Pelodiscus sinensis: one gene and its partners. The protein of the gene in region 2 interacts with the protein of the main gene of each other region in a pairwise test. Links are inferred from orthologs where the notes say so. Each region holds a gene or a part of one and is shown on either strand. Other genes may lie near its edges.

Region 1 (9,933 bases), on a different chromosome or scaffold from region 2:
CCTCTGACCTGCCTCCTCCACGCCCAGCTCTGCTGCCCCCCCCCCGGGGAGGAGACTTTTCCATTGCCCCCCAGGCAGCTCGGCCTTGCTGTGCCCAGCCCGGCTCCGGGCAGCCAGCAGCAGCAGCGCCGGCCGCCCCCTCAGCCACCGGGAGCCGGGGTCCCTGCAGCGGGGTCAGCGCCCAGCACCTCCCGCTGCCCCCCATGTGCAGCTGGGAGCAGAGCAGGGCGCCGAGCAGCACTAGAGGGTGGATCCGGGGGGGGGGGGGGAGCCACGTCGCTCTGAGCGGGGCCGGGGAGAACAAGCGCTTCATGCTGGAGCCAGTGCCACCCCCGCCAGCCACGGCTCCCCCAGGGCCTGCCCTGCTCAGTGCCAGGGGCCCCGTGGCCCCTCGCTGTGCCGGCACCTGCCCCAGCTCTGCCCCGTGGCCCCGTTATCCCAACCCTGTCCCCCAGTCCCACCCCACGGCTCCTCTATCCCAGCCCCGCCCCACAGCCCCACCACTCAACCCCAGCCCCACCCTCAGTGCCAATCCGCTGCCCCTGCCAGCCCAATGCTGGGCTCCCCCCCATAGCCTGCAGCACACGCGGTTTGCAGTTTAACCACCCCCGTCAGCAGAGCCAAGGGGGGCTGGGCCGGGCCTGGCCAGGCTGGGGGGCTGAGCACGAGGAGGGTTCCTGCAGCCCCAGCGGCACCCTGCACACGCCGCCGGCCGGGGACCGAGATGGAGGCAGGATGCTGCCGGGGGCGGACGTACAGGGCACAGGCCCTGGCCGCAGCTCTGCTCACAGGGAGGCCCCGGGCCTGCCTCTGCCTCGCGCTGCTCCCAGGCCACAGCCACAAGCTGCGGGCAGCACCCGCCCAAGCACCACCCAGGGGTCTCACCCGAGCAGGGCACGGAGCCCAGCGCGGGCAGCCCCAGGGACAGAGCCCAGCCCCCACGCCGCGGCTTGCCCTGCCCACACGCCCTGCCCCTCCTCAGCCCCAGCCGCCACGAGCTCAGCCTGCCACCGTGCGCCCCTTGCAGCTGGCGCCGGGTGGGCGGAGGCAGGGGGGCAGCAGCCCCAGCTCCCAGCTGGGCTCCCAACCTGATGAGCTGGGCCCTGGGGTCCAAGCCACAGGGACCGTGTGCAGGCCCCCCGCCGCTGGGCCGGAGCCCTGAGCTCTGCCCCACATGGGCCCAGCCCAGCGACCTGGCCAGCGCCCAGCGCTGGCACCGGGCCCTAGCCGGGCAGAGGGAGGTTTGGGAAGGGGCCGCCAGGACAGGCCTGACTAGGCCCGGACAAAGCCTCTGCAGCAGCCGGAGCCCGGCGCCCAGCTGAGGGAAGCAGGTTTGATGGGGGAGCAGGCCCAGCTCCAGCGCCTGCCACAGCCCTGCCCCAAGGAGTTACCCCTTCCCCATGCACCAGCCAGCACGCAAGCAGTGCCGGGGCCCCCGGCCTCCCCGCAGCTGAATGCCAGGAGGTGGGGGGCATGAGCACGACCCCCCCCAGCCCTGGCACCGGCCCCACAGCCCAGTTCCCGTTATCCCTGCAGAGGAAGCCGGGCTGCTGCGGATGGAGCCGGCCCGCCCCACGCTTCCTTCCTGGCTGCTCAAGAGCGCCTGGCCCAGGGACCTGTGCAGCAGCGCTGTGCTGACTCCCCGCACGGGGGCACCCTCCAGTCCCATGTGGCTCTGGGAGCGGGGAGGGGCCAGTGGCCAGGTTAGAGCCGGGGAGGGGGGGTGTCCCAGAGCTACCTGAAAAGGGCACGGAGGCCTCCTTCAGACACAGGCCTGTCCCGGCTCGCTACAGAGGAGCCCCCTGCCCAGGGCACAGCGCCGGTAAAGCGCCCGGGTTTCCAGCCCCCAAACAGCTCCCCAGCCTGTCTGCAGGGCACTGCAGAGCTCGCCACTGGTGGAGGGGCAGGCAGCCTGGCTCCCCCCGGCGCAGGAGCCCCTCCTGGCTGGCACCGGGGTGCACGACTGGGAAGGGGAGCTGGCCCCAAGCATGCCACCCCCTGGCTCGTCTCCGCTCTGCCCCACGGTGCGGGTGGGGAGGAAGCGCGCGTGCCCCACCCCCAGGCCCTGAAGGATGCGCGTGGGCACCTCGCAGGCGCGCAGATGGCTCAGGCACAGGCGGCCTTGGCAGGGAGACGGGCTGTGTCTGTGCTGTGTGCGCACAGCCGCCGGCAGGAACAGAACGCACCGCCCACCCCCCGGCTGCAGGCATCCCCAGGTGCCGAAGGGCACAGGGCAGGGGCAGCCGGAGCGACCCCACCCCCGGTGCCAGCCTGCCCTTCCCTTCCCTCTCGTAGCAGTAGGATCTCAGAAGCCACCGGGTGCGCAGGACGGCCTTGTGGCCCCGATCCCACCCTGAGCAGCTGGAAACATGGCACGGCTATAGCTGGCTCCCGGTGCCCGCCCATGCCCGGACAGCAAGGCCCTCTCCTGGGCACGCCAGCAGGGGGTGCCCTCTTCCCACCTCACCGCTGCTCAGCCCTGGGCCCTGCAGGGCACCTGCTTGGGAGCCCCCAGTACCCCTCGCTGGCATGTGCCCCAGGCCAGCCCATGCCAGGCACGTCCAGAGAGTAGCAGAGGGGGCAGGCCAGGGCTCCTGCCCAGCCCCAGGGGGTGGCTACCACAGGGAACTGGATTGGGGCCACAGATGTGCTGGGCTCTCAGCAGGCTGGGAACACCCCAGCGTGACCGCGCTCCCAGCTCTTGCCCAGCCCGAGGCCAGGCTGGCGCACACCCCCAGCCGGAAACAGCCCCGCTGGATTTTCAGGCTCATTTCCTCATGTGGCTATGGATGGAGGAGCCGGCTCCCAGTCCCACAGCGAGGGACCCCGTCACGCCAGGCTGGGCTCGGTGTGACACACGGGGGCACCACACCAGGGCCACGCCCAGCTCCCACAGACCATGTTCATCCGGGCACCGGGCCCCCATTCCAGCCCCGCGATCTGCCTACTCAACGCCCCAGCGGACGCACCCTCTCGCCCCGGCTGCCCCTGCCCACGGCACCCAACCAGACCCCTGCCGGGGAACCCTTCGTGCCCGACTGGCACGGCTCCCGGCCAGGGCTGGGGGGCACCCTGGGCTTTGGGAAACAAGAGCACTTGGCCTAGGGAGTCGCCGGGGTTGGCACCTGGGCAGCAGAGCCTGGGCTGGGGGGCACGGCGGGTGGGGCTGCTGGGGGGCAGGGGAGAGGCGCCCGGGCGGTGCGAGGGCTCCCACCGCCACCATGCGCCACGGCGCCGTGCCAGGGGCGCGTGCCCAGCCCGTGCCCAGCTGGCAGGGGCGCAGCGAGATTCCCCCCCCGGGCACCGGGCTCTCTGCATCCCCGCCAAGCCCACGCGGGCTCCATCCCCGGCAGGAAGGGCCCCCGCTCTACGCACCGGGGCGCGGGGGGGGCCGAGCCTGGGGAGGGCCGGGGTCCCCGCGCACAGCGCAGCCGCGGGGCCTGGCACTGGCCGGCCGGAGCCGCAGGCCGGGCGCTCACCTGGGGCGCTGCAGTCCGCGCACACCTCGCTGCGCGGCACCTTCCGGGACATCCTGCGCGGCGCGGCCTTGCGGGCCAGCTCGGGGCCGGGCCGGGCCGGGCCGTGCGGGGCTCGCGCCGCTCCCACGGCTCCGCGCTCCTGCAGGAAGCGGCGCAAGCCCGGCCCCTGCGCAGGGAGGGGTTGGGCGCAGGCTCCCCGCCCCCCCCGGGCCCGGCCTGCCGGAGGAAATGGAGCGGCGGGCGCACGGGGGCGCAGCGCAGCTCCAGCGCGCAGGGGCGGCGCGCAGCAGGGGGGCGCGGGCTCCGGTCCCTGCTCCATGCGGGCAGCCGGGGGCGCTCGTCTGCGCCGCGCCCCTGCCTTGCGCCCTGGCCCCCCGTCTGCACGCTGGGGCCCTGCCTGGGGCTGCCCGGGGTTCCCACCTCGGGGCCGCTCCGCTTTATTGGTTTCACACCTGCAACCCCCCCACCCCATTGGCCATTTGTTGTCCCTGGCTCTGCGCCCCTGCAGGAGGAGGCGGGGCCTTGGCTCGGGTCGGCTCCGCCCACTTTTGCAGGATTTCGGGGGGGGGGGGCTGCCAGCTGGCTCCCCTCGCAAGGTCTCTCCCCCATTGCCCCCCATGCATGGGGAAAGCTGCCACCATCTCAGCCATTACACCCCTCTGTGGGGCGACACTGCAGATCCCCCCCCAGGGCCAGCGGGGACTTCAGCGCCACTCTCTGGTGTGGTCCCTGCGTCCCCTGCCCCTTTCCACCCGCCAGGCCCGTCCTCTCAGACAGCCCGCTCAGCGCGTCCGCTGGCAGCCCCTCACCACTCTGCTCCCCGCCCCCATATGCCTGGGGGACCGACCCACGTCTCTGCTGCACGTTTCCACCTGCTCTCCAGGCCCGGCCCCGCACGCCCAGGGCCAGTTCTGCTCAAGAGCCGCCCGCCCGCCCGCAGGCCGGGACTAGGGATGTAACCGTCCATTAACCGATAAGCGAAAGCTCACAGGTCAGTGTTACAGACCACACGTATTCCCCTCCCCTCCCCTTGCCAGGAAAGGATTTAGCAGGCTGGCCAGCAGCCCGGCTCATGCCAGGTCTAGAACCTGCCCCTGCGGCGGCTCTGCTTTTAAAGTGTATCAGGAGCCAGGCGGGCGGACAGGCAGCCCCACTCAGTTCCGACTCGCACCAGGTCCAAGAGCTCAGATCCCCCTTGGACAGGGGCTGCTTTTTAAACTGGCTCCCCTTGTGGACCAGCTCCAGCCTGGCACCCCATGCTGCCTCTGATACACTGGCTGCCAGCCCCACCCCCGGGACTAGAGAATAGTCGACTAACCGATAAAAATGCACGAGGTTACTCGACTATTCCGTTAACCGATATTTAACATCCCTAGCCTGCACCCCAGCTGTGACAGCGGAGGAGGGAGAAACCCAGGGCAAGCTGGGAGCTACGGGGCTGAGTCCCTCTGCCCATCCCGGCCCTCCTCCCACCGGCGGCTGCAATAGCTCCACCGCCCCGCTCTGATCCAGGAACCTTGGTGGGGAACCCAGGTGCTGCTTGGGCCCAACGTGGGCATGGTTGGTGGTTCTGCGGCCACAGGTGCTGTCTGTGCCCATGCCCACACTCACGCTCAGCCTCTGTGCGCCGATCGGCGGGGAAAAGCCTCCCCCGCCCAGCTGGCCTCTTGCATGGAGAGCACCTGCCCAGCCCTGGGCCGAAGCACTGCTGTCCAGAGACACCCACGGGCACCAAGCCACCGCGCCTGGCGCTGGGCCCGGCCCTGCTGGGCAGGAGCCGTGGTGCAGACCCAGCTCGCTCCGCCCCCGGGTCTGCTCTGCACTGAGACAGGGTTGGGCCACAGAGCTGGGGTGCAGGATGCAGCTCTGGAGGGGGGATTGGGAAAAAAGACAAAATGCCTCTGGCGTGCCTGGGAACCCCAAAGAGCCGGGGAGGGGCCGTGAGCGCCTCAGGGCTAACCAAAGCCTGGAAGCCCGCCTGGGCCCTGGCCTGCCCCTGAGCTGTGGGAGCAGCCGCATCCTGCGTTCCCCTCCCCCGCCTGGCCCCCCAGCTCTTCCCAGCCCAGCTGCCCCTTGCACCCGCGAGGGTGAGGCCGCTGCCGGTTGCTGTGGAGACAGGTCTGATGTCACCGAGGATCGCTGGCTCCGCTGGGGAAATCGCTGGATCAGTTTGCGGGCGCCCTCCCCGGCATGTGTCAGAAGGGCCACCCCCTCCCTCCGGCAAGGACACGCTGAGCTACGGTCCAGGCCACGCTCCACAAGAAGGAGCACGTGACCGGGCGTCCCTGCTTCTGGAGCACCGTCCTCCAGGCCGCAGAGCCATAGGGTTGCCAGATGGTTTAACAAAAATACCGAACACCCTCCAAAAAAAAACAAACGGGAAAAAATTCTGTTGAGCAAAAAGAAAAAAAAAAAAAGGCACTGTGCCTTTAAATGGCGCTGAGCTCCTCACTTCCCCACACCTGCCAGATGCAGCAGGGGAAAATGCAGATGCAGCAGGCTTCCATCCGAGGGAAATCGGAAATACCGGACATTTCACATGTCCAATGTTTTCTGGTTTTTTACTGGATGGGGCAAACCGGACACCTGGCAACCCTACAGAGCCAGGCCCCTGGGCGCAGCCCACTAGCTTTCTCCCAATCACCCCCACCCTTTGGGAGCAGAGGGACGTGGGGGAGCCGCCCAGCCAGCCGTCGTCCCAGGGCGTTGCTCCCCGAGAAGAGTGGAACCTCGCCCCAGGGCGCCGGCTTCCCCCAGTTACAGGGGCCAGGCCCGGAGGCCAGCAATGCAGCACTAGGCGAGGAAGGGCAGGCCTGGCCCTGGACTCTCTCGGCGCCCGTGAAACCCGCGGGGGGGAGGGCAGGATCCTGAGGCCTGGGAAGGCGGGATGCACGTCCGGACGGGCACCGCTGCCCCAGGGCCGGCTTTGCCGAGGCGCTGGGCACCCTGGAGCCCACTGGCCAGGCTGGCGCTGAGCACTTCTGCCGGGGGGCGGGGCTGGCAGGACAGGACGCAAGCCCCCGGTAGCCCCGCTCCATTGGCAGCCCAGCAAATACCCCCCGGGGGTTCTCCCCCCTCCTCGCGCTTGCGTCCCCTTCACCAGCCTCACCCCCCCGCAGCCACCGCTGGGAAGGCAAAGGCCCTGTCTGCCCCCAGCCCTGTGCCCCGCACGTGCCGACTCGCCTGGGCGGAGGGCAGGGGCCGGCAGCAGGGGACCTGTGGCAGGTACAACCCCTCCCTAGCACTAGCCAATGTCTATGCCCGGGCGGGGAGGGGTTGCTAGTGCCGGCGCCCTGGGGTGGCACGCACCCTGCCCTGCCTGAGCAGCCCACGCCCTCGCCAGCTGGGCCCTTGCCACGCTGCAGGGGAAACGATCTCTGGTCGGCTCTGCTCTGGGGGCGTCCACACCCCTGTGGCTGCCTCCTGGCCCTGGGCTGCTCACAGCCGGGCCTGGGTGCTTAAGTGCCCATGCCCGTAGACAGGGGGTTGCTCTTTTAGGTGCCGGCCCACGCCGGGTGGGAGATGACTGGGCAGGGCGCTCCAACGCTGCCCTGGGGATGTGGCTGCGATAAAGGCTTGTTCACAGCTGGCCCAGCGAGCAACAGCACAGCCTAGACACCTGGTCTGGAGACAATGGGCCAGGGACCAGGGCACCAGGCTGGGTGTCAGGATGACTGCGGGCCACGCCCAGCTTTGCCACTGCCCTGCGTGGTAACCTTGGGCATGTCACTTCTCCTCCTGCCGGGTCTACCGTGTTGGGCTCCGTGGAGTGGGGACTGACGCCGCTACAGGTTTAGCTCCCTGCTCAGCTGCTGCTTGGAGGCCCACAGGCCTGGAAGAGCTGCTCTGTGGCCTGAGCTAGCTCCGGGATCAAAGTGGCTCCGGAAACCCCGCACACGGAACTCACACTAGTGAACCTTTGGGCGCACACTCAAAGTGTGAACCGTTCTAAGCCCCAGCCAGGGGCGCAGGGCACCCCCGAGGGCAGGGGGCGGGGCAAGGGCGTGACACGCTGTCAGCGTGCCCGTTATCCCATCGCCATGGCGAAGGATGGGGCTGTAGCCCAGGGGCCGAGGGGAAGACAATCCGCCAGGGCACGCTAGCAGCACTCCAAGTGTGACGCGTGTCTCTCTGACCCCCCCGCGCGTGGGCATGCACGACGCCACGTCGCCTGCCACGTCGCCTGCCACTGGGCTGGAGCATGGCCGCTGCTGAACAATGCAGAGCCACACACGCTGGGCCGAGAAATGCCAGCCCCAGCTGGGCGTGCGGGGGCTGCTCCTCGGAGCTGAATGCCGCTTTGTTGCGGCTCCTCGAGCAACCCCCCCTCCACCATGGCGCTGGGCTCAGCCGGCACGTCGCAAGCGGCTGCCCCGGCCCTGGAGAGCTGGCGCGCTGGGGAGGAAAACAGGCCTGGAGAGGGCTGGGTCCGGAAGGACGCCCCTGGTAATCCCCGCTCCTGCTGGGGCCGAGCGTGTGTGGCCTGTGGCTGCAGGGGCTGGCGGGGGGCGGAGGCAGAGTGGGACGGGCATGCCAAGCACAGGGGAATGGAAGGGGAAGCGGGGAAGTGTGTCATATACCCTGTACTGCACCCTAGGCATGGCCTCTCTCTGCCCCGCCCGTGTCCCATCCCCTCCTGCCGGTCTCTGGAGGCCCCTGAGTGGCACCGGGCGCGTGTGCAGGTTGGGGTGGGATCCCGTCGCGCGGGTGTCGGGCATCCCCGATCCTGCACCCCGTCCGCAGCAAGACGAGACTCCGCAGCCAGTAGAACAGGGGGGTTTATTGCTTGCCCAGGATCCAGCCCAGACGGGATGTGGGTACCGGAGTCAGGGCCAGGATGCCTCAGACCCCTTGGGGTGGGGTCCACAGGCCCCCGAACGCCCAGCGCTCTGCTTAGTCTCCTCTCTTCATGTTTCCCAGCCAAAAGCTGCCCAGCTCCCGGCCCTGCCCCCCACCCGGTGGCCGTCTCCCTCCCTCCCTTTGTCTCCCCCGGGAAGAGCCTTGTTCCCTGCCCAGGCTGGGCCTGGGTGTCTGGGCCAGTCCCCGTGTGGGGGAGTCCGTGGGAATCGCGGCCCAGCGCGGGGGACCCGGGTCACAGAGCAGACAGCCCCCCCCCACTACGCCACATGGGGCACTCGCCGGCCCGCTGGGCCGTGTCTGACGAACAGCCCGACGGCGCAGACCCGCCGCCCGGCCAGGCCGGAGGGAGGGGCCAAAAGGTCCAGGGCTCCGGGCTGTCACCTCGCGGCTGCCGCCAGAGCCCTGCTCCGCTAAATTGCCCTGGCCGGCAGCACCGAAGTGGCTGGGGGAAGGCTACCCCAGCCCCGCCCCCTCTGCATGAGGCCCCGCCCCCTCTGCATGAGGCCCCGCCCCCTCTGCATGAGGCCCCGCCCCATGTGGGGCCCCTGGATTTGCCCATGAGCCCAGCAATTCTGCGGACAGCTCTTTGGCCGCTGCCAGATTTTGCAGAGGGAAGGGACGGAAGAGGGTGGTTGCGGAGTGAGTCACCCTCTGTCCTGGCTGGAGCACTTTGAACAGTGGGGCAGGAGTGCTGAAAGCCAGTCCCCCCACTACCCCCAGAGCTGGAGCTGGGAGCAGAAGGGGCAGGGCTGGGGCCACAACTGTGGGGCACTGGGCCTGCAGCCAGGACCTGGGCACGGGGTGATAGCCAGGACCTGGGGGAGGGGTGGTAGCCAGGACCTGGGGGAGGGGTGGTAGCCAGGACCTGGGGGAGGGGTGGTAACCAGGACCTGGGGGAGGGGTGGTAGCCAGGACCTGGGGGAGGGGTGGTAGCCAGGACCTGGGCGTGCGGTGATAGCCAGGACCTGGGGGAGGGGTGGTAACCAGGACCTGGGGGAGGGGTGGTAGCCAGGCCCCTGGGCGTGGGGTGGCAGCCAGGACCTGGGGGTGGGGTGGTAGCCAGACCCCTGGGGGTGGGGTGGCAGCCAGGACCTGGGGGAGGGGTGGTAGCCAGGACCTGGGTGTGGGGTGGTAGCCAGGACCTGGGGGAGGGGTGGTAGCCAGGACCTGGGGGTGGGGTGGTAGCCAGGACCTGGGGGTGGGGTGGTAGCCAGGACCTGGGGGTGGGGTGGCAGCCAGGACCTGGGGGAGGGGTGGTAGCCAGGGTCCAGGCACAGGACTGGCAGCTAAGACCCTGGTGCAGGGCATCAGGCAGGACCCCAGGCTAGGGGCCAACAGCAGAGCCCCGGACATGGGCTAGCAGCTGCCAGGACAGCTGAGACCCAGATGTGGGGCAGAAGCAAAGCCCCATGTAAACCATGGGGGGGTGCAGCATGCCCTACCCCCCGCCTGGTTCCCATGCCTCTTGGGGGCACTGGAACAACATGAACCGTGGGATGCTGAGATCCATGGACCCTGAGTACAATGGACCCCACTTCAAGGCAGGGGCCCCCCCTGCACCCGTAGTTCCAGCCCCCATGATGCCTCTGTCTGT
Region 2 (10,452 bases):
TCTCAAACTGTGGTCCGTGGACAGCTGCCTTCCAGGTGGTCTGCGGCTCAAGCTCAGTTGGCCCCCTTCCTCCGAACTTCCCTTCCCCCTCCCCCAGCTGAGGAAACAGCAGCGCACTGATTGAAGGCTTTCCCCACTGCTCCTACTAGCTGGAATCCAGCCAATGGGAGCAACAGGAAGCTGTGCCTGTGACACGATGCCTGTGACCAGTGTGGGGTGTGAAAGCAAGTAAGTGCCCCTGCCGCCCCTTCATGCCCAGATCCTGCACCCCTACCCTGCTCCTGCATCACCCCCTGCTGAGACCCCGAGCCCCAACCTATTCCTGCAACCTGCCCTGGCCTGATAACCTTCCCCCAGCCTGCCCCTGCACCCTCCCTTGCTTTGCCCTGACCTTGCACCCTCACGCACCCCACCTCCTACTCAGATCCCACACCCTCACCCTTATCCCACTCACTGGCAGCTTTGTCCCACACTGAACCTCAGAGCCTGGGAGGTCCACAAAATCCACTAACCCTGAAACCCCACAAGAGTAAAACCAGCCCATGGAAAGCCCTGAATCTCAGTCCTCTCTTGCCCCCTGGGGCTGGAATGCCAGAGGAGTGAGGAGTATCAGTTGGCGGGTACAACAGTGAGGGTTGTGGAGTTTTGGTGGAGTTTTTTTGCTACTCGCTTGTGTGCTCCAGCAGATTTTTTTTTTGTGGGTCAATGGCCCCAGATCCAATAAAAGGTCCCCACCCCTGCCAACAATAAAGAAAACATGGGAACCTTTTGTATTGGACATAAATTAATATTTTACTGTATTTAAAATGAAGTTTGATAAACTAAATTGAGTTAAAGTACTTGATCTGTTTAATAAGTTAGTATTTCCTTTTTTACTGGTTAAACTGTTCTTCCTAGCTGCAGCAACAACAAAATAGCTTGGGCGTAATTAACAGTGACTTTCCATTAGCAACTGGTGGTCCCTAGAAAGGCTTGCATAGATCCAGATGGGTCATGGGCCAAAAGTTTGAGAACCACTGGTGTAAATAAACTTGGATGGATAGAAGCCCCAATCCCAGAGCCTTGTAAGATTAAGCTGTGGAGGGCAACTCTGAGTCAGCAGGCTACATACCCTCCAGGTGCGAGCTGTGAGTCTGGTGCATCCTGTTTCTCCCCTCTGTTTCAATGATAGAGCTACAGAAAGGCTTCATAAGAAGTCTCTTTTAGTATTTAAATCTACTCCAGCAAATGCTGGAATCTCTTGTGGCTGGACTGTGCTTTGGGCCAAGAGCTGAAATCACTAGGTTTGGCCCAGAGTCAAATCCACCACAAGCCAGTGGAAGATGCCATGAGCAGCAGCAACACGATGAGCAGCCAGCAGGGCGGCCATGGAGAGGCATAATGAGCAGCCAGCAGAGCAGCGGCAGCAAGGGGCGAAGAATGGCCAGCAGAGCAGTGCCAGACAGCAGCGAGCAGGTGGATGGTGAGTGACCAGTGGAGTAAGATGCCTCTTTACCTCCACCCCTCTCAGGATAGGAGGTGAACTCTGAGGATGCACCTCTGAACTCCGGGTCTGCCCTGACCAAGGGCAGCAACTGTGAATGGGGTGCAGAAAAGGGCTGGGTATGTGGAGGGGACATTTACATTGCTGGGCCTAAGAACCTGAGAGGAAAAGGACATTGTCCAATCTACTTGGGGTGGGACTGTTACTCATGGTTTTGATTATGAACCCTGTTTGTGGTGTTTTCACAAATTAATACCACATTACTTCCCTTTCCTCTATTAAAGGTTATATTAAAGGTTTCTTTTCTGCACTCAGACTCTGTGCTTGCAATGGGGAAGCACTGCCTCTCAAAAGTACCCAAGGGTGTTGTTTGAATTTCCCATCTTACGGGTTGGGGGCTTTAGCCAGTTCTGTGTTAGATGGATGGAGAGGAACCCCCACATATTGAACCTAGCCCTGGATGCTAGTGGCACTACCTGGAAAAAGGGTTACATGTATATAAGTGTACATGGTACATAAAAGTTATTTCACATCTTATGTTTGTATTTTTCACATAACACAAAATAAAACTGTAATGCCATGTCAGTTTAAAAAAAAGTAGACTGTTCTGAATGATAGGTGAACAATAAAAGGCCTGAGTAATAGAAAAGCAAACAGTCTACATGAAAACTATTTCTAGTGTTTAAAAACATTCCTCTACTGTTTACTGAGACCCAGTCACATTGCATCCTATGCTGTTGGAAACATTTTTAATATTCCAGTAGTTATATGGACTGGTTTTGGAATGTCCTAAAGTAAGACAGATATAAATACATCTAATTCTGTATACATTTCTCTTTCACATACAGCTAGGATTTTAATATTGAGAGACATTTTCTCCCCTATAAAAGAATCTCACAAAAATTGAAAAAAACTCCTCTCCCCAAAAACCTATATACACAGGTCACCATTTGAGCACACTACACTGCTTGTTGTCTGGCCCACTCTCCCTGCTTATCATCACCTTTGTTTAGGCCCCAATCCTGCACTGGGGTGGATCAACAATGACTGCACAGAACCTCTCCATTCAGTGTACCCACAGAAACCAAATCATGGCTTTTGAATGTAAATTCCTTGGGGCAAGGACTCTGTCTTTACAAGCACTTGGGGCACTTCATAACCAATAAAGGTGAGGGGTGTGAGGGTGTACACACCCCACTGTCACCCTTATTGGTTATGAAGTGCCCTCGGTTCTTGTAAAGACTCATTGTAATACACTTAATAATTTCCTAAATAAGATTTCGTCACGTGGTTCCTGCAGGAAGACATCTGATTGGGAAATTGTTTTCATCTGGCCATTTTTAATAGACCAGTACAGAATCTAACACATCACAGTCGTATTCAATCAGCTGAATTCCTGTTCACCGGGCAGTCTCCCCCTTTCCTCCCGCGCAGGAGGGGGGGCAGCTCTGCCTTAGCCCGGCTCCCTGCCCTTTTAAGTGACCTCCTGAGTCCAGCCCTGCGGGAAAGTCTATGCCCGCCTGCGCCCCTTCCTCCGTCCCCCGGCAATGGCGCCTTTGCGGTGCTGCCCGCTGGAGGAAGCTGCCGCGCGGCTGGCGACCGCTGGCCCAGGGGAAAGGCCGCCCCGCTCCCTTTGCCGCTGCCCCGGGAGAGGCCCCGGGAGCGGCCGCGGGCCCCGCAGCCCGGGTTTGGGGGCAGGCTGTTGCTGTGCGGGGCGCCATGCGGCTGAGAAGCGGGATGTGCCGCGCAGCTTCTGCCACCGCGCGCACCACCCTCAGCTGCCCCGGGCAGGTGGGGGGCGGGCCCGAGGCTCCCCCGGGAGGCTGGAGGGGCTCTGGGGGCTCCGCCCGTGGGGGTGGGGCGCGGGCGGAAGGGGCGGAGATGGGGCTTGGCCTCCCTGACGTGGGGCACCCCCCGCCGCCCGTGCCGCGGTCTGTGCTTCCAGGGGTGGGGTGAGGGGGCCCGGTGCACAAAGGAAAGTGCGCGCATCTCATCCCGGAGCGGCTCGCTGCCCGGCCTGGTCGTGGCTGGGAAGCAGCGCGGGGGGACCCGGGCGGGGACGCGTCTCCCGGGTGCAGCCCCTGTGGCTGCGCGCAGCAAGCGCCGCTCTCCCCGCCGCGGCGCCCCCTTTCCTCCCTACACAGCAGAGGCGCTTAGCGCCAGAGGCTCCTCCTGCACATGGGGCGGTTGCACTGGCGCCTGGCTGCATTTGACACCCTGCAGGGCGGATGCATGACCCGCTGCGGGGCATTATTTGGGTGCGGGAGCCTGGCTGCTAGAGGGCTTGGAGGGGGGGGGGGTGAGCTCGGAGCCAAACACACGCCCAGGCTGCTCCCGCCGCAAGGGGCCCGGGTGGGGCGAAGGGGCCGAGGAACGTGCACTTACTTTATCGATGGTGCCCGGGAGCAGGCGGTCCAGCAGCCTGCACAGCACCACCCCGTCCTTCAGCGACGATTGCAAAAACCCCTCGGGGTCCGAGATGGTCTTTTTGGGCGACTCCAGCACGCCCAAGGTGATCAGCCATGTAACGGTCTGCTCCGCGGAGTTCATGGCTGCTGCCGCCGCGGCCAGGCGTTGCGGCTGGGGGGGGGGGGGGGAGGAAGCAATCGCGCGCCGGAGGAGGCTGGATTTGGACGGTGCCCCCCCAGCGCCCCCACCCCTTTGCTGGGGGTTTCACATGGAAGCAGCAGAGGCCGGGGCCGCCGCCGCCTCCCGCGCCATGGAGCTGCTGCAGATGACGCCTGGCTCTGCGAAAGCCAGCGGGTCCGGTTCCTCTCCCTCTCGTGCGCTTTGGCAGCTTGTCAACTGCCTTTTCATTGCACACACATGAACCTGCAGCGCCTCCCCCTCCTCCGCCCTCAGCGCCGGCTGCCGCCTCCGCATGACATCACTGACAGCCGGCGGGGAAGAAAAGACGCGGGGCCCTTGCCCGGCACACAGACCTGCGGCTCGTGGAGGGCGCAGCTGCTGCGGGCACCGGCCTCCTTTGCAACCCGCGCCGAGCGCTGGCACCTCTGTGGCGATCGCACCCTCCCGCCTCTGCACCCCGGATACAAATGGGAACGTTTGAGCTAGTGCACAAATGAACCCTGCTTAGGTAACAGGAACAATGTGTGTGTGGGGGGGGATGTGTTTGTGTCTGATAGAGTCACACATATTGCATGGGGATGGGTGTTGCCATGCACACATTGGCAAACCGTGCACATATTTATACACATAGCCAGTATCCATGGTGAGATTTAGATGCTGCCTGAGACACTATTTAAATCCTCCCCCATATACATGGTGGCTAACACTGGTAACATTTATATAGGCGTTATTCACCTCGAGGCAACGTGGATATTTGATCTGGCAAATCGTGGCATCCTTCAGGATTTTGTGGCATTAAAAATAAGTGTGTGCCATATTCTCTTTTACTGCCCGGCAAGCCAACAGTGCTGAGTGAACATTTTAATTCCCTATGTAACACGATGGATCCTAAACAGTGCAGAGTGGACTCATAAAATCTGCCAGGAATAGGTCTGCTCTGTATTGTGCTTGACCTTGGTAGCATTAACAAGGATCTAACATTAAACAAACAATTTGTTTTATGTGCCCTCTAGTGTAGGGTTGGTTTATGACACTTCATTGCAATCAATGAACGCACCATATAAAAGAGAACAGATTTATAAATAACGATTTTGTATAATTTGATATTTCCTAGTCAAAGTGTTTTACTGCTATTACATTTGACTTCTGGAGCCATACAGATACCAGAAGGAAAAGAAACCCAGTGCAATACCTTAATAGACTTCCAACAAGAAAACTGCCGTTTTTTGAAGGAGCAGAATTGGCAGGAGCAAGTCAGGTATTGAAACTCTACTACCAAAATAAAAGAGGATTGAGTTGCTTTCTCTACTTTTGATAATGCTGACCCATTCTAAACACCTTTACAGAGATAACTGTTTTCACAAAAATATTCTTGAGTAGATTTTTTTTCTTTGAAATGTACCAAATTGTAGCTACAGAGTTGTAAAAATTACCAGGGCAGAATGCTCCTAAACTTCCCGCAAAACTGCACTCAGCTCCCTATTTCAAATTACACAAATTTAATAGTGTACTGTAAAACAGTTTATATCTACTATATATTTAAGAAAGTTTGTCTTTCTGCAATCTGTCTGTCCATCCGTCTGTTCAACTCCTCCTGAACAGTAAGAGCTAGGACCACCAAATTTGTGATGTAGCTTCCTCTTTTCATAACTTAAACTTAAAGTAAGGTACGAGTTTGGTTCTGCGGGGGCAGAGGGGCTGAATCCCCCCCCCCCATTCATACAGGGATGCATAAAAAGAACTCCTAAACAATAAGAGTTAGGACCACCAAATTTGGTATACAGCTTCCTATTATCATACCTTAAAACAAGGTCAGGGTTTGGGTGTGTGGATGGGGAAGGGTGACGCTCCCCACTGATTCATACAGGGACACACAAAACCATACAGAAAAGAGGCAGAATCACTAGGCAGGTGAAAGGGGATGGCTGGGGGTGCACCCGCCCCCCATCTGGGTCAGCCCCAAGCCTCCCACCCCTCCCAGATGCCTTTAGGGAGGGCAGAGGAAGCTGCAGCTCTTCCTGCCCCAATTTGTACAGAGACATTGCTGGCTGTTCCCATTCGCCAAGGAGCAAGGGGAAAGTGCATATTTTGCTGCATTCCTCACTCTGGCTGGGGAGTGTAGGGGGCAGACAAACCTAGACCTGTCCCAGCCAGGGGACATGTGACCTTCCCTTAGCTATGCCCACTGGAACTGCAGCAGCCATGGAGAAGCATTTCTCACTTGACTCCAAGCTGCTGTAGTGAGAGAGGATTGGGATTGTCCTCTATCCCTGGGGCAGCCAGCACACTGAACCTCTCATTCCCAGCCCCACACCAGAGCAATGATTTAAATGAAGCAAAACAAAAATTAACTGAGTTAAGGACCCAAGCAACACCAGGTAAATCTTCTAGTAATATATAATTTAGTTTGTATTTTTGCAAGAACAAAGGAACAGCAAAATACACTTGTCTTGGTCAAATTTTTTTTGGTCAAATTGTTTTTGTTTAAACAGGAGAAAAAGTGTATAGTTTCATCAGATCCTCATTGTCCTATCTGCAAGTACTCTCATCTCAGAAATATGGGTTTTATCAAGGCTAAAGGAGGACATTTTAATGAGAATTCCTTCTAGGAACATTGGCAGCATATCCATGGTCCAACTGATCCCATTTGGATATTTTATTCATTTGCTTGCAGTTTATATGAGCAATGAGCCAATTATTAAAACAATGTTCAGTGACTGAAGTGCTGGCTTCCCTGGCTGTGTTCATTTCCAGGCATCATGTCTACAGTCTGCCATATGGTTCACTGATTTTCTTTCTGTGACTTTCCACAATTATAATTTATGGTAGTTGTTGCTAAGCCAGTGTAAAGTGCTTACAAATATTTTGCAAATGAACTTGTGCAAAGTGGTTTATAATGTATTTGTTGCTTTGTCCCATTTATGTCAGTTAGGTTGTGCTACGCAAATTGCCTATCTTATTTCAATTGTATTTTGAAATTATTTCTAATTATTTCTATACAGCGCCAAATTTCAAAACAATGCACTATTTTGACACATTCCTTAACCCTCGTGGAACAAAGTTTACAGGGATACTGAAATAGCATGCCTATTATTTTGAAAAATATTTCAAAATAACGGGTGCATTTAAATGATGCAGAATAGCTATTTCAGGTATCCCAAAATGGCCCAGCTGTCTAAACGTACCCTTAAACTACTTCTGTGACTGAAATTATCCATGTGCTTAAAGCCTTGTCTAGACAAGACCCTATTAAGGCACTTAAGGTCAAAATTTTTGAAAGTATTGAAGTGGCCACACAAGGTGCAAAGTTATGTTCAAAGTTTGGTAGCTAACTTATTTTAAAAAACAATCTGTTTTCCTAGCCTAGAAAAGGTCCATGTGATTGCAGGATTGGCTGCATCATTAGTGGCCCAACACACTTTGCTATATGTTGCTGCTAAACTCATTTTATATGCACACAGGAAACATAGCAATTGCGGAAGGTCTGTCTAGTCCAGTATCCTGTTTCTAACAGTAGCTAGCAGCAGCAGCTTCAGAGGGAAGTGCAGGCAAATATTGTATAGTCTGCCCTCTGCGTTACATCTCCTCATAATCCTTTATAGTTAGAGATTGTCTTAAACTGACAAACATGCGATTTAATAAACAACGAATAGTCTTGCAGCACCATAGAGAATAACTAAAATGCAGATGGTATCATTAGCTTTCATGGGCACAATCCACTTAATAACTTTTCCAAAATGTATGCTAGCATTCAATTTTATATCACTTTTGCTTTTCTACTTATTCCTTCAACAGACCATTTAAGAGCAACTAAATAATATATATCTGTACAAAAAAGCAATAGAAGAATATTGGAATATTTGATATTGTTCAGAAAATAGTATAGATGGCCAAACTAACTGGAAAACCTGTGAGCATAGTTTCCAACAACATATAAAACAGAAAGGCTATGTCTACACTCGAGGCTTCTTGCGCGATTAATATGCAAATGAGGCTAAGCGTGGAATATCGCCGAGCCTCATTTGCATACCTAATGAGCCACCATTTTTTTCAGAAGAGCCTCTTGCGCAAGGAGGAGCGTCTACACTGCCCCTTCTTGCGCAAGAAAAACTCTCTTGCGCAATGCTGTTCTTCCTGAAAAGTAATAGGTGTAACGGCATTGCTCAAGAGGGTTTTTCTTGCACATGCTCTGCGGCTTTGCTCTGCTTTGCTCCCCGTCCCCCTGGTCTGCAGATCCTCATATGGTCTTCATTTCAGCTTCTGATCTCCTTCTATGCCCATCTCCATCTTGCCCTCCAGCTTCTTCCTGTTTTTCCCTCCCTCTTTCCACTCACCTTTTATGTTTTTCATTTTAGCTAATCTTCCAGTCATCCAATCCCTCCTATCATTGCCCTATAATGTAGTTAATACAAATAAAAATAAAGACTAAAATAAACAAAAAGCCACCCAAAGATTGTTTAAAATGTTAAAATATTCTATTAGTTCTATGACACTGACAAACCATCACTCATTTATTTCATTTGCACATTCTCATCTATTCTTTCCCCTGTGTCTGTCTTGTACAGGCAGTCCCCGAGTTACGCGGATCCGACTTATGTCGGATCCGCAGTTACAAATGGGGCCCTCCCTCTCCCTGGTCTCCAGCAGACCAGGGAGAGGAAGCAAAGCGGCGGAACACGCGGGCAGCGGACAGCCCAGACGCGTCTGGGCTGTCAGCTGCCCACGTGCTCCGTGGCTTTGCTCTGCTTTGCTCCCCGTCCCCCTGGTCTGCAGACCAGGGGGATGGGGAGCAAAGCCACAGAGCCCGAGGGCAGCAGGACAGCCACAGCGCGTCTGGGCTGTCCCGCTGCCCCCGTGCTCCGCGGCTTTGCTCCGGACGCCTGCGGTACAGCAGCTGGGGCGCTGCCGGTTGGTCCTGTAGCGCCGCTCTGGGCGCTACTGGACCAACCCGGCAGCACCCCAGCTGCTCTGTCCCAGGCATCCTGATTCAGCCACTGCTGGTCAGTTTCAGCAGCGGCTGAATCAGGACGCCTGGGGCAGATCAGCTTGGGTGCTGCTGAGTTGGTCCAGTAACGCCAAGGAGCGGCGGCGCTACTGGACCAACCCAGCAGCACCCCAGCTGCTCTGCCCCAGGCGTCCCCAAGTCAGCCGCTGCTGAAACTGACCAGTGGCTGACTACAGGAAGCCCCTGCCCCGGGCTTCCTGGAATCAGCCGCTGATCAGTTTCAGCAGCAGCTGACTTGGGGATACCTGGGGTTCTTAAGTTGAATCTGTATGTAAGTCAGAACTTGCGTCCAGATTCAGCCGCTGTTGAAACTGATCAGTTTCAGCAGCGGCTGAATTTGGACCCAGTTCCGACTTACATACAGATTCAACTTAAGAACAAACCTACAGTCCCTATCTTGTACGTAACCCGGGGACTGCCTGTAGATGTAGATTGTCAACTCATTGGGCCAGGGATCATCTCTTATTCTGTTACTGGAAGATTCGGAGTTAACTATACAGAACCAATGAGTTTGCCTAAAACACTACTGTTCTATTTAAAACCTTTATCATTTCATGTATCTAATCTGGTAGTCAAGATTGTGACCCACCCTAAAGGAAATTCCAGGCAAAACCACCATTAGCTAACTTTCCCTTTAAGGACACAGATTCATCCTTCTGATCAAGAATAGGCAAATAAACTGTAAAGTCTTTGTAAACAAAATAATATTTACTTAGAAGTGTTTATAGTAAAAGAGTAAAGATAGATAAAATGGGATTTCAGAAAAATGGAATGAAGTAAAATGGCAGAAACAACACCGCAATAACACTTTCACTTAACTCAGTCTATAGCATGTAACATTCTAAGAATATAATCATTTATTTAACATTCTGATGCCTTATAACAATATACCAATTAACTGTGATAATATATCAATTAAACATTTAATATTAAATACTTAACACTAAACATCCAACAAATGCTGATCAGGCAATTATTATATAGATATGAGAAGATCTTACTGACACCACAAGCATCCAGCTTTATTTTTCTTGAAACCCATATACTCCAAGATGGTAAGAAAAAAACCCAATTAGACTCACAAAAGCCTTCTTAAAAAGCCCTCTGAGTCATCTTACAAAGATCCTTCTGCTCTGTGAGCAGATAAAGATTGCTGTTAATGGACGGTACATCCAGGTGATAGTTGTTGCAGCTGTTGCTCCTGCTAAGATGAAGTTTCTCTTCAGGTAATGGATTCGGAGCCTGACTATGGTAGCTGGTGCAGTAGCTGCTATGGTAGCTGCTATGGTAGCTGGTGCAGTGGCCTCCGGCTGGTGGAGTGGCAGAAACAGCTGTTATCAGGCATGCTGGTGCTGTAGCTGCTTGAGAACGATGC
Region 3 (10,383 bases), on a different chromosome or scaffold from region 2:
CTAGATCCCAGTTAGCAAGATTGACTCTGAACTTGGCTTAGGCTGTGGCAGTAGGAGCTGATCTGGTTGTGCACAAATCAAAGCTTAGCTGAGATACTGAGGAAGTTTTCTTCAGCCTGGATGTTGTAAGAGCCACCCTAGTGCCTTCTACACAGCCCCCCCCTCCGCCCCCCGACTCCTCCACTGAGCATGATCAGTGTGCCCCTGTGCCAGAAGGGTCCCTGGAGACTATGGGCAGCCCATTCAACTTGAAGCAGCCCTAACTCAAAGATAGGCCTGGGGACTTGCCTTGTACCAAACTTCCCTCCGTCAGGATAGCAACAGTGGCTTGACATTCACCTTTGCCCCTCCCCAGTCAACCCCCTTTGTAGAAAGAGTCGGTGTGGAAGTCATTGATTTTTGTGTGAGTGTGTTTTTGTCTTGCAGGTATAAAAGTGCGATGTTTGCAACAATTTTCTTTCCGTTTTTGGTAATAAATATTGCATGCTCACACATCAAACCAGATCAAACAACTTGCAACCCTATGGATCTGTTTCTAAGAACGCTCTTCATGCTCAAAAAGTGCAAAGATTTCCTGCAAACACTTCAGTGAAATCCTAAACGTGGTCAAATGACATTTACAGTGCTGAAGCATTCTCATTTTGTTTTTATCTTCCCACTTACCATGCAGAGTTCTTCTGATATCACCCATTAAAAGTGAAAATGGGTCAAGAAAGAGGAAAGTTAGATAAAATCCCCCAAACAACTTTAGAATGAAGGAAGTGTGAAAAAAAAAACTACGCTACATAAGCTTTATGTGGGAAAGGTGCTTAGCTTAATGCTTGTCGCCATGCACACAGCCATATTTCGAGTGCATGAAGCTCTATTTTGTTATGCAAATAGTTTCATGACTGATTTATAAAAACAGTAAACAGTGAAACTGAATCCCAACACTTTCCTACATGGGGTAGTGAACACCTTGCCATCCTAACTGGATTAGAAAGCAGCGATGGGCAACCTAGGTTAATGGATGGGCCACATGAGTGGACCCCCTTCATCTCAGTGGGCCACAAGACTGTCGTAACCGAGATGGTCTCCTGGAATAGGGTAGTTTTGCCAACTGTGCTTGGGTACCTAGCATTTGCCGGTGTGCTAATTGAACTGTAGCAGCATTTTGATTGGCTGCAGAGGGAGCACCCGGCTCTCACAGTCAATGTTGTGTGCAATCAGCATGCACCTCACGTCACGTGCCCTGGCTTAATGTGAGTGTCACTTTAGTAATGCCAGTAGGAAAAAACCTCCATGGACAGAAACCAGTGGAATCAGGAAACCCTGCGCCTGGGCAGCATTAAACAAAATGTCTTGTGGGCCATATACGGTCCATGGGCCACAGACTGGCCACCACTGTTATACAGCTGGGCTGTGTCTAGACTGACACGATTTTCCGCAAATACTTTTAACTGAAAAATTTTCTGTTAAAGGCATTTGCAGAAAAGCATCCGTGCCAATCTAGACGCACTTTTGTGCAAAAAAGCCCCGATCGCCATTTTAGCCATCGTGGCTTTTTTGAGGAAAACAGTACTGTGCTGTCTACACTGGCCCTCTTGCACAAATGATTTGCACAAGAGGGCTTTTGCCCGAACGGGAGCAGCATGGTATTTCCACAAGAAGCACTGATTTCTTACAGGAGGAAGTCAGTGTTCTTGCGGAAATTCAAGTGGCCAGTGTAGACAGCTGGCAAGTTTTTCTGCAAAAGCAGCTGCTTTTGTGGAAAAACTTGCCAGTCTAGACACAGCCCTGTTGTAGATACTGCTGGTGACATTTTCAGGCTCTATCCAGCTCAGATTTGCCTGAGGAATTGCTAAGCCCCTGAGCATAAGCAGCTTCACATCTCCTTCTGCCTTGATGCCCTGACTCAGGCTGTGGCTATAGCTAGGGCTGAAGTAATGCAAGGACATCAGGGGCTGCAGGCTAAGGGGGGGCCCTGCAAAAATAAATTATGATGGGTGGGGAACCTCTAGCTCGCAGGCCAGATATAGCTCCCTGCTTAATTTCATCTGGCCCATGGCAAGGCTCTGCCCTGATCCTGAGTTCCTTCCTGCCGGGCTGGAGCTGTGAGTCCTGGCTTGCGATGATCAGGGAAGCTCAGGAGCTGCCCAAGGTAAGCGACTTGCACCCCTAATCTCCTGCCTTAGCCCTGAGCCCCCTCCCTCACTCAAAAGCCTTCCCAGAGCCTGCACCCCCTCCCTGATCCCACTCCAGCACCCTAACTCCTACCCACACTCCACATACCCACCTCCACCCTGATCTCCTGCCCTGCGCTTCCTCCTGAAGGCCTCCACCTGGAGCCCTCTCCTGCATCCAAACCCTCCTCTTCAAAGCCCCCCCCCCAGTTGGAGTCCTCACCTCCTTCTGTATCCCGATCCTCTGCCCCAATCTGGATCCCTGTGTCTCACACTGAATCCTTCATTTTTGGCCCCAGCCCAGAGCTTAGGGGACGCTCCAAACCTTCACACGGCTGCATGTGGTGATTTTATTTTAAATTAGAAAAGAGACTTGTAGACAGAGACCCCACAAAATCTGATAGCCCCAGACCCCCAGGAGCGTTAAATTGACCCTGGTTTTACCTAGGGCAATAGACATGGAAGATGGAGTCTGAGGATTCCATGTTACTAGAGGTACATACTGCTCAGAAAGTCCTAATTCCTCCTCCCCCCCCGCCCCGCCTCCTGATTCTCTCTCTATGGCTGGCCTCTATCTGTAGAACAGGGTGTGCCAAACACCAACTAGCTGCCTGTGAATTTTGGGTCCAAATGCAGCTGTTGTGGTCTGGGCCTATCTCTAGCCTTGACCATTGTGACTGATTGCACTGAAGCAGGGCAGTGAGGAATCAGGTCTCCAGTTCCTGACCCAATAGGTCTAGTATCTGACCAAAGTAGAATGCGCCATTGCCGTGTGCTAGGTATGTTGCTCATGCTCATGCGAAGAACTACCTAAGGGACCAGAGGGGGATGCACCAGGTAGCACTGAACAGCTATACTTGTTCAATGACTTTAGCCCTGACTGCCTCAAAGCACAGGTAGAAGCTGCTTATGCTCAGTAATGCTGATGAAGGAATACAAGGCACTCCCAGGTATTGACATGTAGGGTGCAATTTTTTCCATATGCAGAAATTTGTCCATACCTGAAAAAGTCTTAAGTGTGTGTCTGGGGGGTGGAGGGGCTGGGAGGTGGGGGTGTAAATGTTTAGCCTTTTAGCAAACAGGCAACTAGACGATTTGACCAGGTACAGTACTAGTGATTTCAGACAGCAAACAACCCTAGGAACCTGTGTCAGCCCATAGGAGCAGAAGGAAATTGATTTTTTCATTCAAGTTGGGCATATGTGTCTGAGTTTTTTTTCTATCCTTTGTTTTACCTGCTTCTCTACAGCACCGCAAAGTCTGCTCTGCTAATAGTGTCAGGAAGGATGTGTGAGAACTCACAGCATCTGACAACATTACATCAGCACTGCGTGAAGTTTACAGCTCCAAGAAGCCAGAAAGGACAATGTTGTTTTTGAACAGCTGAAGGAAAAATGTTTCCAAATGTCAAATGCAGTTTCTAACATATACTGCGCTGATTTCTATGAGCTTAATCTACCCAAGTGTTAGGAATAGTGTATCATCTGCTTTGAAGTGGAAATAATTAGCCCCTCTGACATTAAGCACATTCACATACCATGCAACTACATGAAAATAATCACCTCCACTATCTAAGCACAATGGGTTGAGATAAGGTATTTTCAGCTGTAACACATGCTTGGTTTCCATGGGTTTAAAGTGACCTCTGGTACTCTTCTTGGGTTTGATCCTGCAAGGTGCTGAGTGCCATCAAGCTACCAAAACCGAGCATGGCTGTTAAGGAAGAAAGTACTCAGCTTCTCATAGGCACTCACTTTAAAAGTGGCATTTGCTGAATCACATTAATTCTGAAAGGAAGGAAGAAAGAAAAGGAGATGAAGCTGCATACTGTTGCTGAAATGACCTAGAGGTGGGTGCCACTAATGAAAACATTTTCACTAACATTTTTGAAAACATGGTGCCTCCTGATTGTGCACCCCAATTATCAGTAATGAATAAGGATGACAAATAGGCTAGTTCCTTCCCTGCCATTCATAGAATCATAGAATACTGGGACTGGTAGGGACCTCGAGAGGTCATGGAGTCCAGTCCCCTGCCCTCATGGCAGGACCCAGTACTATCTAGACCATCCCTGATAGACATTTATCTAACCTGCTCTTAAATATCTCCAGAAATTGAGATTCCACAACCTCTCTCGGCAATTTATTCCAATGTTTAACCACCCTGACAGGAAGTTTTTCCTAATGTTCAACCTAAACCTCCCTTGCTGCAGTTTAAGCCCATTGCTTCTTGTTCTATCGTCAGAGGCCAGGACGAACAATTTTTCTCCCTTCTCCTTGTGGCACCCTTTTAGATACCCGAAAATTGCTATCATGTCCCCTCTCAATCTTCTCTTTTCCAAACTAAACAAGCCCAGTTCTTTCACCCTTCCTTCATAGGTCATGTTCTCTAGACCTTTAATCATTCTTGTTGCTCTTCTCTGGACCTTCTCCAATTTCTCCACATCTTTCTTGAAATGCGGTGCCCAGTACTGGACACAATACTACAACTGAGGCCTAATCAGTGCAGAGTAGAGCGGAAGAATGACTTGTGTCTTGCTCACAACACACCTGTTAATGCATCCCAGAATCATGTTAGGTTCTTTTACAACAGCGTCACACTGTTGACTCATATTTAGTTTGTGGTCCACTATAACCCCTAGATCCCTTTCTGCAGTACTCTATCCTAGACAGTTGCTTCCCATTCTGTATATGTGAAACTGATTGTTCCTTACTAAGTGGAGCACTTTGCATTTGTCCTTATTAAACTTCATCCTGTTTACCTCAAATCATTTCTCCAATTTGTCCAGGTCATTTTGAATTATGACCCTGTGCTCCAAAGCAGTTGCAACCCCTCCCAGCTTGGTATCATCTGCAAACTTAATAAGCGTACTCTCTATGTGGATATTTAAATAGTCGATAAAGATATTGAACAGAACTGATCTCAAAACAGACCCCTGTGGAACCCCACTTGTTATACCTTTCCAGCAGGATTGTGAACCATTGATAACTACTCTTTGAGAATGGTTATCCAGACAGTTATGCACCTACCTTATAGCAGCCCCATCTAAGTTGTATTTGCTTAGATTATTGATAAGAATATCATGTGAGACCGTATCAAATGCCTTACTAAAGTCTACATATACCACGTCCACCACTTCTCCTTTATCCACAAGACTCGCTATCCTATCAAAGAAAGCTATCAGATTGGTTTGACGTGATTTGTTCTTTACAAGTCCATGCTGGCTGTTCCCTATTACCTTATTATCTTCCAAGTGTTTGCAGATGATTTCCTTAATTACTTGCTCCATTATCTTTCCTGGCACTGAAGTTAAACTAACTGGTCTGTAGTTTCCTGGGTTGTTCTTATTTCCCTTTTAATAGATGGGTACTATCTTATCGCCACTTCTTGTGCCCATCACAATAGTGTCCTGCTCCCAGCTAATTTTTATTTATTATACAGGGACACCTATTGAGGCTCGCAGCTGATGCATTAATGACTTCAAACAGCAAACACACTTACTGAGACATGAGCCCAACTTCTGAGCTGCTCCATACAGAAGGGGCCAGACTAGCTGCAAGCCACCTTTGCTCATCCTGACTTCTGGGTCTGGGTGGGGATATGCTTGGCCCAGGGCTTTGAATGGCCTCCTATGAGCTGCTATATAGTCCCTGAGAGCTGGAGTGTGGCTTGCTCTGGTCATACCCATTTCCTTCCAGATACATCTGCCCCATATGTTCCTATGCCTAGCACTGCATGGAGGGGGTACACAGGGCCATTCTGCTAATACCGTGTCACCCAGAGAACCACGCTATGCTGGGCGTATTCCCAATGGGGTCACTTGAACTACCAATATCTGCTGTCACTGTCTTTGTGGCGGTCGAGCAGCAATAAAGGGACCATGAAAACCTGAAGTTACTCACCCGAGAGGCATTAGTGACTGACAGATTTGGAGTGGGTTTAAGAATCAGGTAATTTGCTTTGGCTCTTACAGGGACATGCCAGTCGGTCAGCTCGGCCCTGTGGAAATGCATGTGTGTTCGTGTGATTCTCTTTCACTTTGTTACTCATTTTGTTTTACCCTCTTTACCTTTAAAGTCTTTGCTACCACGTGCAAAACATACAATGGCCTTTGGTTCCAGATTGCCTCACCTTGCCCATTTGATAACACATCTGTGTGCTTGTGCCAGGGAGCCCTAGCGTAGATAATTGAGGACAGGTCTAACCCTCGCTTTTTCGAGCCTTCCAACATTTTAAGCCCTTAAAAGACAAACACTGTACTGAAAACACTAACTCTTAACAGACGTGGTACTTTGACTGTCGCTCTTAGTCTAACCATAGCTTGTGCTTTCAGGGTTGTGGTGAGGAAAGCGTTGCTTTTTGCTAGGGAGCTGGTATGCTTCATGTACCTGTTATTCACATGTCTTTTGAATGCTCTGAGTCACAAGAATGCTATCAAATGGCACATCTGCCTTATAGGTGATAGCAGCACCTACAGCTCTGACTGTCGGTATGAGAAGTCTTTAGAAGAGCTGGAGGTGGGAACACATCCTGTTTATACCAACCAGTGAGTGAGCAGCTGGATAGCAGGCGGGTGACTGCAGCGAGCTGTGTAACAGTCACTAACCCCAATCACCTCTCTCTAGCTGGGTCGTATCAGGCTCTGCTTGGTTCAACTACAGAAAATGGATTCTCTGAACGTTTATCATGGGAGCATCAGCCGGGAGACGGGGGAGAAGCTCCTGCTGGCTACGGGGATGGATGGCAGCTATTTACTGCGAGACAGTGAGAGCATCCCAGGAGTATATTGCCTGTGTGTGCTGTGAGTACAGAAAGTCAAGGGAATCCAGGGTCTGCAACAACACCCCTTACCTGATGTCTGTTTAATTGTCGGGGAGTCAAAGCTGCCACCTAGAATGCAGCTGCAAGAGGGTTTTATGGGTCTCAGCTCCATTTAATGAAGTATCATGAGCATGGAGACCTTCCAGTGGGCAGCCCATTTGGTGATCCTGTGGCTTTCCTCGACCTCCAGCCTCTGGCTTCGCAGCATGAGTTCTGCCTTGCATTACATTTGACAGTTAGAAGGGTCATCTTGTGGCAGAATGCGCAAACATTTCTGTGTGTACAAAACCTTGTGGGGACTTCGCTTTGCATCGCCGACTTCAGGCTCGGGGTTCTCGGGCCTTCTCAGAGAAAGGATAGGCGAGTTCAGGTTCCTGCCCTGGGCTGCTTAATCTTAAATGGGACACAGAACAGTGAGCAAAGGCAAATCTATCTCAATGATGGGGTGGAGAGAAGGAAAGAGGAATGAGGCTATAACAGCGTAAGCCATGCACTTTAGATGGTATACTGCACGTGCTTCTTGCTCCTTTGGCTTTGCCTGTTGCCTGTCTTCCTCTTTACTACACTGAATAGCAGGACAGCCCAAACCTTCCTTTCCCCAGGGGGCTCGTAGGGAGGAATATTGATGCTTTATTGAAAGTGAGAGCTTGCCAACTCTTCAGGGTCTGATTTTGTCTGCCTTAGTAAAGGGGAATATATCCCTGCGCGCTGGGAGTATTGCTGCTGATTTCTGAACGTGTCAAGCAGAGCTAGATAATAAAGAAAATGGTGACAATGTATCAGGATGATAGAGTTGGGGCAGAAGGAGGAATTCCTATGAGGTGTCTGTCATAGGTCACCCACTTGGCGAGAAGGCACTGATGAGTCGCTTCTGAAATGGAGATGAGCTGACAAAGGGCTTAATATTTATGGGGGGTTGGAATGACAGAAGTGTGAGTTCTATTAGCGAAGGGCGAAAAATCCAGAGTATTAGCTTTGAGCAGGCACGCTGAAGTGCTATGCCACTAAAAGAACAAAGAAATGGCCAACAGGTCTGTACCGAGAGCTACTTTAAGCAATGAAAGAGGGAAAAGGGATATTAAAAGGATATGCTAATATCAGCAAGAAATTACCAAGACAAGATCAATGATTATTATTAACTAAAAGAGATAAAAGAAAAATAAAGCAGGCTTTTTTTCCATAAAGAAAGGATAAGATAATAAATATATTAGTACATAAGAACGGCCATACTGGGTCAGACCAAAGGTCCAGTCTAGCCAGGTATCCTGTCTTCTGACAGTGGCCAATGCCTGATGCCCCAGAGGGAGTGCACAAAACAGGGAATCATCAAGCAATCTCTCTCCTGTCACCAATTTCCAGCCCCTGACAAACAGAGGTTAGGAACACCATTTCTACCCATACTGGCTAATAAGTATTGATGGGCCTTCTTTTTTTTGAACCCTGTTAAAGTCCTTGTCTTCACAACATCTTCTGGCAAGAAGTTCCACAGATTGACTGTGCAGTGCATGAACGTTTGTTTCAAACCTGCTACCTATTAATTCATTTGATGACCTGTAGTTCTTATGTTATGGGAACAAGTAAATAATTTTCCCTTATTCACGTTCTCCATACCTGTCATTATTTTATGGACCTCTATCATATCCTCTCTTAGTCTCTTCTTTTCTAAGTTGAAAAGTCCCAGTCTTTTAAATCTCACTTCATAAGGCACCCGTTCCAAACCCCTAATCATTTTTGTTACCTTTTTCTGAACCTTTTCCAATGCCAATATATCTTTTTTGAGATGAGGTGAGTCAGGCGACCACATCTGTACATAGTATTCAAGATGTGGGTGAACATAGATTTATATAGAGGCAATAAGATATTCTCTGTCTTATTCTCTATCCCTTTTTTAATGATTCAATTTAAAATAATATCTATATCATACTTTCCAACAAAGGTATGAATGTTCTCATTGACATCACTTGGTTTTAGCCTTGAATTTTAAACTGTGCATATTATTATTATTTCACATAAGGGCAAAGTGAGGTGTAGAGCCACATAAGAAGTGTCCCAGGCTGACATGAAAAGGTTGTAGTCGAACTGTAAACACAATCCAGTTCCATTTTTATACATCTATTGTTGTGCCTTAATCACAAAGAATTGTCCTGTCTTTCCCTAGTAAATGAGAATTAAAAATAAACATTAAATAATTCCAAATTGGCGGACACTTCTAATATCTGCTTTACTTCAGCCTTTAACAAGACAACCAAATTTAAGGGATTAAGAAGAAGTGTACTGAGTTAAACGCTAATGCAGATTTGAGGTAGATAGATATGAAAAGCAGTGATACATCTCTAGTAAAAGGAACCAGCTAATAAATAATGAGTCCAAGCGTTCTTAAAGAACTATCAGAGGAAATGGGGAAACAGCTACTTATCATTTGTAGAGTGATCCAGAAGAGGTGAGTGGTAGCAGGTAATTGGAGCGTCATGAACAATTTTATCCAGCTTTATGAAAAATAGAGCAGGATTCCAGGAAATCAGACTAGCTGGCCTACATTCATTACTTAACTTATAACAAGGACATGGAACTGCAATTAATCAGTAAAAATTTCTGGTGATATTAAAGGCAGTTTGTTTATATGAATGTGAGGAAGGTCAGGTTTTAAAGAGCAGATTAGGACAGTTAAATAAGATGCTCATAGGTCTGAAGACAAATGGGCATGCAATCAATAATAAAACAGCTTCCTAACTGTGCCTGGAAAATGTGCAAAGTGGAAATAAATGTTTGCATTTAGGGATACATTTGAATGAACAAAGGATGAGATAACAAATTACTTACCTGAAAACCATAGAGAGTAAAGTGTTTGTAATCCAGACTATAAGTGCTTAGGAAAAGTTTTTACACCTTTTAGTGGAGATCTATAATTGAGTGGCTAGAACAACATTGTACAGAGAACTAGGATTTGACATGGATGGAAATCTGGTGGCAGAATCACAGAGATGAGCGGTAGGTTCAGGACTGTTCAGTACAGTATTTCAATAATGAGTGTGGTGCAAGAAGTAGATTGTACAATAATTAGCATCTCAGATGATAAACTAGGAGACAATGAGTTGATGATTTCAGAGTGATCTGGCAATGTGATGGTAATTTAGATACGTGTATGAAATAGTCTACTATAGCAGGCAAAAAATGTAAGCTAGCTGAGCAACACCACAGCAAAGAGGAGAGATAGCAGCCAATAAGTCATAGTTGGTTGTAGATGCTTGCCGTGGTAAGGAAGAACAAATCTTATACTGGCAAGTATCCAGGGAGATAGCACACATAGGACTGGAGTGACAACTGTACAGGTTATGGAGCCTTGACAAAACCAAAAAGAGATGTGTGTAGAAATTGGGCTTTATCACTGCAAAAACAAAAC

Evidence for each region.
Region 1: the proteins of ARHGEF7 (region 2) and GIT1 interact in binary tests that used the Homo sapiens proteins (3 or more experiments, as listed by UniProt). The link is inferred for Pelodiscus sinensis from reciprocal best matches to the Homo sapiens genes ARHGEF7 and GIT1.
Region 3: the proteins of ARHGEF7 (region 2) and SH2D1A interact in binary tests that used the Homo sapiens proteins (3 or more experiments, as listed by UniProt). The link is inferred for Pelodiscus sinensis from reciprocal best matches to the Homo sapiens genes ARHGEF7 and SH2D1A.

What each region holds. Positions count from the first base shown.
Region 1 is NC_134731.1:2,289,807-2,299,739, forward strand, and holds the start of GIT1 (ARF GTPase-activating protein GIT1), read right to left. Parts: upstream 3,830-9,933; 5' UTR 3,799-3,829; coding exon 3,480-3,798; intron 1-3,479. UniProt on the Homo sapiens protein: GTPase-activating protein for ADP ribosylation factor family members, including ARF1.
Region 2 is NC_134711.1:239,395,664-239,406,115, forward strand, and holds the start of ARHGEF7 (rho guanine nucleotide exchange factor 7), read right to left. Parts: upstream 4,255-10,452; 5' UTR 4,034-4,254; coding exon 3,869-4,033; intron 1-3,868. UniProt on the Homo sapiens protein: Acts as a RAC1 guanine nucleotide exchange factor (GEF) and can induce membrane ruffling. Functions in cell migration, attachment and cell spreading. Promotes targeting of RAC1 to focal adhesions. May function as a positive regulator of apoptosis.
Region 3 is NC_134723.1:31,987,872-31,998,254, reverse strand, and holds the start of SH2D1A (SH2 domain-containing protein 1A), read left to right. Parts: upstream 1-6,647; 5' UTR 6,648-6,826; coding exon 6,827-6,963; intron 6,964-10,383.